Drosophila melanogaster: one gene and its partner. The protein of the gene in region 2 interacts with the protein of the main gene of each other region in a pairwise test. Each region holds a gene or a part of one and is shown on either strand. Other genes may lie near its edges.

Region 1 (3,465 bases), 3.2 Mb from region 2:
TTACGATCAGGAGTTTCGTATGTAAGTAGTTACTTTTTAATTTATGCATCCATATATAAATATACCTTCATTCGGCAGAAACTTGAGTGACCACCAGCGAAGTGAAAAGAATAGTCTTATTGTATTTAGCATCAAAGATAAAGATTTATTCGGCATGTCGAGCCAGTATATAGCAGAGAGCTATATATCTTTCGCAGATCTGGAAGCGACACCACCGGGCGAGCAAATAATGATGAATCTATCCAGACCAGAGTATACAGGTACCTAATCATACTTTTGGCAGATTAAAACTGGAAACTTATACATGTTATGTGCTTTCAGATTCCGAATCACTGCGTGCCTTGGAATACAGACTAGGTGATAAGCAGGCCAAGGATTTCCTTAAAAAGCTGAAGAACCGATCCTTCTCCTAAATTGTGAAAAGTTATACGTTGTAAAGAAAAGCAATAAAACTGTATTTTTATATTTTCTACGGCAATCGTACTAAAATTTACAAAGTTGCGTTTTGAAATGGGCCCCATTTATGGACTGAAACTTATGAAGAAAAGATTTGCATTGTCTGACAGTTTTAATTACATTTATTGGAACAAAAACCAACGCGGTAATTAGTTACAAATACATAACACTCACTTTTTACGATTAAAGAGTAATTTTCCAGAGTTTCTTTGTAATAAATAATATATAAATGGTATTTGTGTTAAATTATATTATTCGTAAAGGGCTTGATACGTGCATATCAGCATGGTCTAATGGCAAAAACTACTATGGCACAAGTTTTTGCCGATGTGCCTTATTGGCGACGACGTGTGTTGCGTTGCTTATCAAATCGCATTTCCATTTCCTCGAGAACCTTTGGTGTGTAGCGTACCACCAGCTTTACAGATCCGACAGCTTGCTTTAATAGCTCTACGGCCTTCTCGTGGTTTTCTCCTTCGACAGACTGAAATATTGATATTTTGCAAGTTCTTAAGGAGTTAAGGTACATAACTGAATTAATGACTTACCACACCATTCACAGACAAAAGTTGATCTCCCCTTTTCAGACCACCATGCCTGTCAGCCACGCCTCCAGGTATTATTCGGGATATATAGATGGGCGAGTTTTGCTCCTTGCCCCCCATTACATTGAAACCCAAGCCTGAAAAACAAAAATTAAAGATTGATAAAGCTTTCCATATAAGATGTATAATAGAAACATATATTCTCGGTCTATAGACCTTTACAATCAAGGTATTGGTTTTATGATATAGGGGAATCCCCTCGATTCTTAGCTCATAGGGGCGTGTCTTACCCTCCTCCGTTTTCGGGAGCTCGACGACTCTGGGATGAGCGTGCCCCTCGCTGGCTGCGAAGGCTGCCACAGTGGCCTTGGCAGTGGCGGATGCCCTCACGTCGTGGGAGCCCTGGATGTCCACCGTCTCGTAGACGTGCTCGTACACCTCCCGCACGGAGGTCATGAAGTCCGAGTTGAGCACCTTCTGCAGGGCGGCCAGTTTTGTCGTGGGGAAGTCGCCACTCGCTTGCAGCTTTTCCAAGAGCTCTATCGATCTTTTGACATCTGAAAGTTAGAGCATTGGGTGTGAGTTTCCTCCAACTGGGAATGGTTAGCATGCACCCTTACCTCTGGACAAAGTCAGTGGTTCTGCGTTATCGGCCATATTGCTGTTCAATTTAATAATAATCAGTCAAATTGAGCTGACCTGAAATATTATTCGAGCAGCTGAAAATAATATGACCATACGTCTCAGGGGCACAAAATACCATTCCGTGAAATTATATTCTCTATTTGAAATAATTTGGTTTAATAAAATAGTAACAAAAGTTATATTTTTTATATTTAACAATATATCATATACTTATAATCTAATCTCAGTACTTTTCGTTTAAAAAATTATCTTTTGAAACAAACAAGTTTCTTGAAAGTGTGGTATTTTATGCACGTACATCCATGGTCATATTATTTTATATTGATATTATTTCCGCACCGTATTTATTTAAACTAACAATAGAATAATAGCAAAATGAGCCTGCCAGCTGCACTATTGCAGCGCCTGAAGAAGCGCGGACTTGTGACCAAACAGTCGGGTAAATACAAAGACCAGTATAGAATCCAAAAAGAGGATAACCAACTTCAGCTTTCCACAGGAGCAGCACCGATTTCAGAAGCTATAGAAGAGATTATAGCCGAGAACTACGATGACGATGACAAGAGCGGCCCTTACCCGTACAAGGAGGACACATCGCCGGAGCCCAAGCGCAGGAGCGTCGAGGAGAAGTTCTGGTCGCACCGCATCAAGGAGCGGATCGGCGTGAACGAGTCCTACCATGGCTACAAGCTGTGTCCCAACAAATACAACATATACCACAAGTGCTCGCTGTACTGCGTAAACAAGTTCAACAGCTCGCCGCTTTCGCAGCCCAGCCATAGGTATCTCAAGCGCTACAAGAGATTGCTGCGGAAGTATCCACTGGAGGCGGGCTGGAAGGATGTCTACGATAAGGGCTGCAAGGCGTTTTACTTCTATAACTCGACCACACAGACTGTTTCGTGGCTACCTCCTTCGCATCCCAAAGCACGGATCACCAACAGCGCCGCAGTGTTTCGCAGACAACTGGCCAACTCCAACGATGAGTTCAACTTCGATACCAACATGGTTCAGCCCAAGTCTTCTAACCAAAATGAACCCGACGAGCCCGACGTATTCGTTCCCGCCAAGAAGCAAAAGTCCAGGGACCTGGAACGAAAAATCCAACGACGTCGCCGTAATGATAACTAGCACTACTAACTAGCCATTTGACTTATGAGCTGTAGATCGCTACTGTTCAAATAAAAATGAATAACTATGATAGATATTAAGGTTTAAAAATGTACACTCTGCTTTATTGAATTGCTAGCTTAAGACAATGAATGGTGGAGCCGCGAACAGATTTAAATCGAAGGAACCGGAAATTTTACGAAAGCAGCAACTCGATAAAATTGTGTCGCACGAGTCGGGAAGTATGTGAAAGTTGAATTTGAGGCGGCGATTAAAGCCCTCAACATGAGGATGCGGTGGACACACTTTCACCAAACTATGTGCTATGTGTAAAGTGTTTTAACCAAGTTATATATATTGGTGAAAGATCAATACAATTATTTTTTTTTTGGGTTTATTTCAAGGTTCGTTTTCCCTTAACAACAACCGGTCGGTTTCGTATGTAGCCCTTGCGACGCTTAGAGTTCTGCAAAGAATCAGATTGTTAATGAAGTTCATTGGGAGCTGCAGGGTACACTACCTTTCTCGAAATGAAGTTTGCTGGAGGAATCGTTCTCTCCTTGGTCTTCAGTGATGGTCTATTGAACTCATGCGGCTTCTTCACCCTATAGATGCGAACAAGCCAGTGTTCTGTGGTGTAGGCCTCCTCCAGGTAGGTCAGATCGAAGTCCTTATTCCCAATGACGGCGTTACGTGTGCGATCATATCC
Region 2 (4,785 bases):
TGGTAATTGGATAATATTTTTATATATATATATTTTTCAAGATTCGCGTTTTAAATAAAAAAACAAAATTTTTTTTTCTTTTCTATATATTTTAGCTGGCTGATACAAGTAGGTAAAACCACTTAAGAATGAGGAAGGTGTGTACTTTTTAGTTTATACCCAAACTATTTGATTGATCTCACAAATTATGAAAGAAGTTGTATAAATTAAAAAAAAAATTAATTACTTTTTTATTATTTCTGAATATTTCATAGTGCGTATAATTTAATTGGCTGCTATTTTACAATCGAAAGGTGGACATTAGTGGGTGACCACTGTTGTTATTGCTGATCATTAACACTTGTTGTTTTTGCTGCTCATCTCGAAATGGTTGTTGGTGCTTATCCTTTTCGACTATATCCCCCGTAGTAATATGGCCATATTGAGTTCATTTTCATCAGGTCTTTCTTCATTTGGCTGATGGTTTTGTGTTTGTTGCTCCCTTATTGGCTTGTTGTTTCTCTTGCATCTTATCTGTGTGTTGTTGTCGTTGGGCGTTTGGCGGTGATTGTTGTTGTTGTTGCTGTTCGAGGTTTTGTAATTGATGATGTTTATGTTTGAGTATTGGCCCCCGTCACCAGCCCCTTCCAACTGATTTAAAGATTACGCACCTACGGTTTTTATTTTTTATTTTCGAGGAGTGCGTGTGGGTTTTCCTCGTCTTCGGTTGAGGGACTCCTGTGTGTGTGCCTGGCATATTAATGCCAAGATCTTAATTTATTCTAATGGGTTTATCAAATGCTGTGGGGTAATAATAATAATAATAGATAAAGTTGAATGGCGCGAAAGAGAAGTAATGTAAATAATATGGTAATATTCAATGAGCTGTGAACGAGCCTGGCGATAAAGTAAGTTGATAAAGGTTCTGTAGTGAAAATCCCTGTATTAACACACTGGTGGCTTAGTCCAGTTAAATAAATCGTGAATCATTTTTGAAGGGGAAAATGTTTACTTTCAAGTTGATGAATGGTAATTGGCATCGTATTGCCGATAAAACTGGAAAGTGTTCGAAATTCGTATGTGCAATATTCCACAATAGCTTTATGCACTTGCTTGCGTACCGCATAAATATTTACCTCCATTTGACTTCACTCAAGCGGAAACAATTCAGTGTGCAATGAATTATCTTACTTTCGAGTAAATTTATTAAGCATGCAGTGGGTATTTATCAAAGGAAAACAACTGCCTTTTGCTGATAAGTCAAGCAAATAAAAGCATATGCAAAATGCTACCGAAGAGAAAGGAGCAGGAAAATATAATTTACTTTTTCTTTAACAAAATTAAAGTTTTAATAGTATTTATTTTCAATTTCGATAAAACATCTGTGTCGTTATGAATGACTATATTCTTAACAATATTCCAAAATTATACTTTCTCGTCCCCAAAACTTTTTTTCAAAAACTTCCGCGCAAATTTTAACAGACCAAATAAAGTTAATAACAAAATGACAGAAAAGCTTAGATACCAACGGGTTTCTGGTATTTTTCCAGTATAACCAGTTGCTTGATTCAAACAAACTTTCTTGAATTAAAACTTTGATTAACGAAGTAAGTTGCTGCAGTACCACCCTTAAATTTATTTTAAAAACAATATTTTTAATGAACACAGGTTGGTATCAATTTTCAATGGGAGAGCCGTGAACCGACTCCAAGTTCCGAACCAATCCAGCAATGCACCTGCAGCCCTGGAATTCTAGTTCGCGGCGAACCGGTTCAGTTGCAACCAGTTCTTCGCCAATCAATTCCTCACGGGCCGTGTTTGTTTTAAGTTAAAATTAGTAAATTACCCAATGCAATCAGCTTGCCAGGCGATTCGTGCTGCGCACCTAGACAATCGAGTGCTAATGCGATTCGCTAAAATGCCAAAAACCAGCGGCCGTTGAAGAATCGCTGCCAAATCGGTGGGTTTTCGTACATAAAACTATATGCGAATTGTTCGTGCCAGTGTGTGTTCGTGTGTGTGTGTGTGTGTGTGGTGTGAGTGTGGCCCCCTCTATGTGTGGCCGATAAAGGGGGCGGTGTCGTTGATAAGGGGGCGTGGAACATGAGCAATGCAAATCCTTTAGACAAAGAATCAATTTGCCAATTGTGCGACACTCGAGAGTCTCAAAAAGTCCTAAAAGCAGGGCCAAATGCACACACATAGTCAGTGAGTGAGTGTATGTGGGTGTGGGTGGGTGCGTTAGTGAGGTGGGCGGTAAGGTCGTGTGGAAAGTGTCAAGGCATTTTACAACAGCGGCACACGAGCAAGGTAAAACCCTCGAGCCCGAATACTAAAACCGAGCCAAAAACACCGCGCCCCATGCGCAGCTCTGCATTAAACATGACTACCAGAAAGTCCTTCGCGGGGATTCCCCGCAAATGCTCCGTCCTGCTCTCGCAGTCGCAACTCAGTTCTCCACATTTCGTGTGTGCATCGTAAATTGTTGCACATTTAAATATTCATGCAGCCCGGGCAGAAAGCATAGCTTATATTTTTTACGATTACAATTTTGGTGCTTTACACGAATTTCCCACGGCGCCGGCGCACTTTACATCCATGCTCGCCATCTTTCTCGCACTCCTTCGCTCTCTTTCACACTCTCTCGCTCTCTGGCTTTCTCCTTTCGGATTTTTGGAGTGCCATCAAAGTTTTGAAAAGTATGTTCAAGTGCTGGACCAAAAGGCATAATAATAGTATGGCCAAGACAAAGGTAGCGCCTCCCATCCACCCTCCCCCCCTGCGAACTTTCCCCGCGAACATCCTTGGAACGAGACCCTCGAAAAGGACACATTCTGCAGGTCCTGCTGGCTTGTTTACCTTTTCAGCTGGCCATCATTTCCGTTGCAAAATTCACAACGCCCACTGTGCGGGGATACTTCCTTCCTACCATTGGCACTTTCGACAGCATTTTGTGCATTTGTGGTGTGTGCCGCCTGTAATTGATTGGGGTTTACACCTGATATGAGTGTGATTGACATATCAAACAAGTTTCGGCCAGGCCAGTCTCATTTCCGTTGCGACACCATTAACAGTGGTCCCTCGAAAAGTGTTCCCATCACACAAGTGTCAACACGCCAGCCCAACTTTATAGTGGCATTTTCAATTTGATTGATTCAGATAGCATTATAAACTTAACTTAGTTTGTAAGTAAGATTACAAAATATTTAGGAAATTATTAGCAAATTTTCTTGATTAAAATCTGTGTATAATTTTTCACAAATGTAAACAAATTTGTTTATATTTGCGTCATCTGCTTGACAGAATTCTCGCAAAGCTTCTTGACAGTTTCTTAATTAGACGCCAAATAAATCTGATTAGCGGCCTTCAACTAATGGAAAAACTCACCTTCACCATTTTCACTTGTTATATTTTTCCAGCGCAAAATGCATTCTTAACATCAGCAGCTACGAAAACAGCAACAGCATTAGCGGCAACAACGAATCAACGACACCAATAACAATACCATTAACAACAAATCATCAGAAGAAACCGAAGGAAAACGCTCAAAGTTTTGGAGTTGCTCACTGGCCGCTTAGTTTTTTGTTTATTTTTTATGTTCGTTTTTGGAGGGCAGTAGGCGACGACGGGCAAAGGAAGCGGGAGAAGGAAAAGCGACGGACACGAAAAACAGGACACAACTCATCAATATTCGAAAAAGCAATTGAGTCGAGGCATCAATTCATCAATTATTCAAAATGACCGAAGACGAAATTCTCTTTGACGACGTCTACGAGCTGTGCGAGGTCATTGGCAAGTAAGTTAGCGCCCCACCGGCTATATCTTTAGCCGATTCTGCTGCTGACAGCTGGCATCCATGGCCATTATCTCATTATGTATTATGTATCCGCCCCGTATGCCCATCCCACCCACCCAGAAGCCGTAAATCATGCAACTATTGGCCTGGGACGAAGCCAGCTCCCCTCTATAAAAAACTTTCCCAAACGCCCAACTTTTGCATTATTCAAAAATGTATGACCAAACATTTTCTGTGCTAGTTACTTTTGCTGTGATCATCATAGTTTAGCCAGAAGTTCATTCACAAAGCTGTCAATGTTATTAAGTTGAACTTTGTTTAATTTCGTTGGAAAAATATTTTTCACTGATGTTGAAAATGTTCCATTAACACACTTCTAAAGTTTATTGAAAATGAAGTGTGAGTCACTAAATAGCACGTTTTTTAATTTTTTGCAATTTATAATCTATAAACTATAAGCAAAATGACGACCTTGAATCGCAATAGTTTTCCAAATTCAGCTTGGTGACATAGTTCAATAAAAATTAATCACGCTCATAAAACAAGATGATAGGAAATCGTTGCTTGACTTTAAATGAGTTATTGAATAGGAATTTGTAAGAAAATTAAAATTTATTTGTAAAATAATCATCAGTAATGTTATGGCAAGCTTTTGTATTAAAACCCCACGTTTGTAACTACAAAGAGAATACATAGTTGATTAAATTTCCTCTTTCTCAAGTATCTTGTTTGCTTTTAGACGCTCGGAAAATATAAATATTTTGCTTTTGTCGAAGCAAGATAAAATTTTATTCGCTCCCATTTAGACACAATCAACTTTCAATTGAAGTTTAATCCGAATTTACTTTATTCCCCCCCCATCCGGGATTGTTTCTTACAGAGGACCTTTCTCCATCGTAAGGCGATGCATACACAGGGAGTCCAATCAGCAGTTTGCCGTCAAAATCGTTGATGTGGCCAAGTTCACAGCGAGTCCTGGACTGAGCACAGCGGGTGAGGATTATATACAC

What was found. The genes of interacting proteins can lie anywhere in the genome.
Region 1: the proteins of CASK (region 2) and veli interact in a two-hybrid assay, tested with the Drosophila melanogaster proteins (2 studies listed by BioGRID).

Annotation. Positions count from the first base shown.
Region 1 is NT_033777.3:25,063,857-25,067,321, forward strand, and holds veli (veli), read right to left. Parts: upstream 1,736-3,465; 5' UTR 1,659-1,735; coding exon 1,622-1,658; intron 1,559-1,621; coding exon 1,005-1,558; intron 941-1,004; coding exon 791-940; 3' UTR 562-790; downstream 1-561. Other genes in the region: stac (staccato), read left to right, coding at 1-21, 79-260, 322-413; PQBP1 (Poly-glutamine tract binding protein 1), read left to right, coding at 2,022-2,085, 2,146-2,777; Stt3B (catalytic subunit 3B of the oligosaccharyltransferase complex), read right to left, coding at 3,151-3,222, 3,277-3,465.
Region 2 is NT_033777.3:21,819,637-21,824,421, reverse strand, and holds the start of CASK (CASK), read left to right. Parts: upstream 1-1,747; 5' UTR 1,748-1,939; intron 1,940-3,398; 5' UTR 3,399-3,716; coding exon 3,717-3,775; intron 3,776-4,655; coding exon 4,656-4,768; intron 4,769-4,785.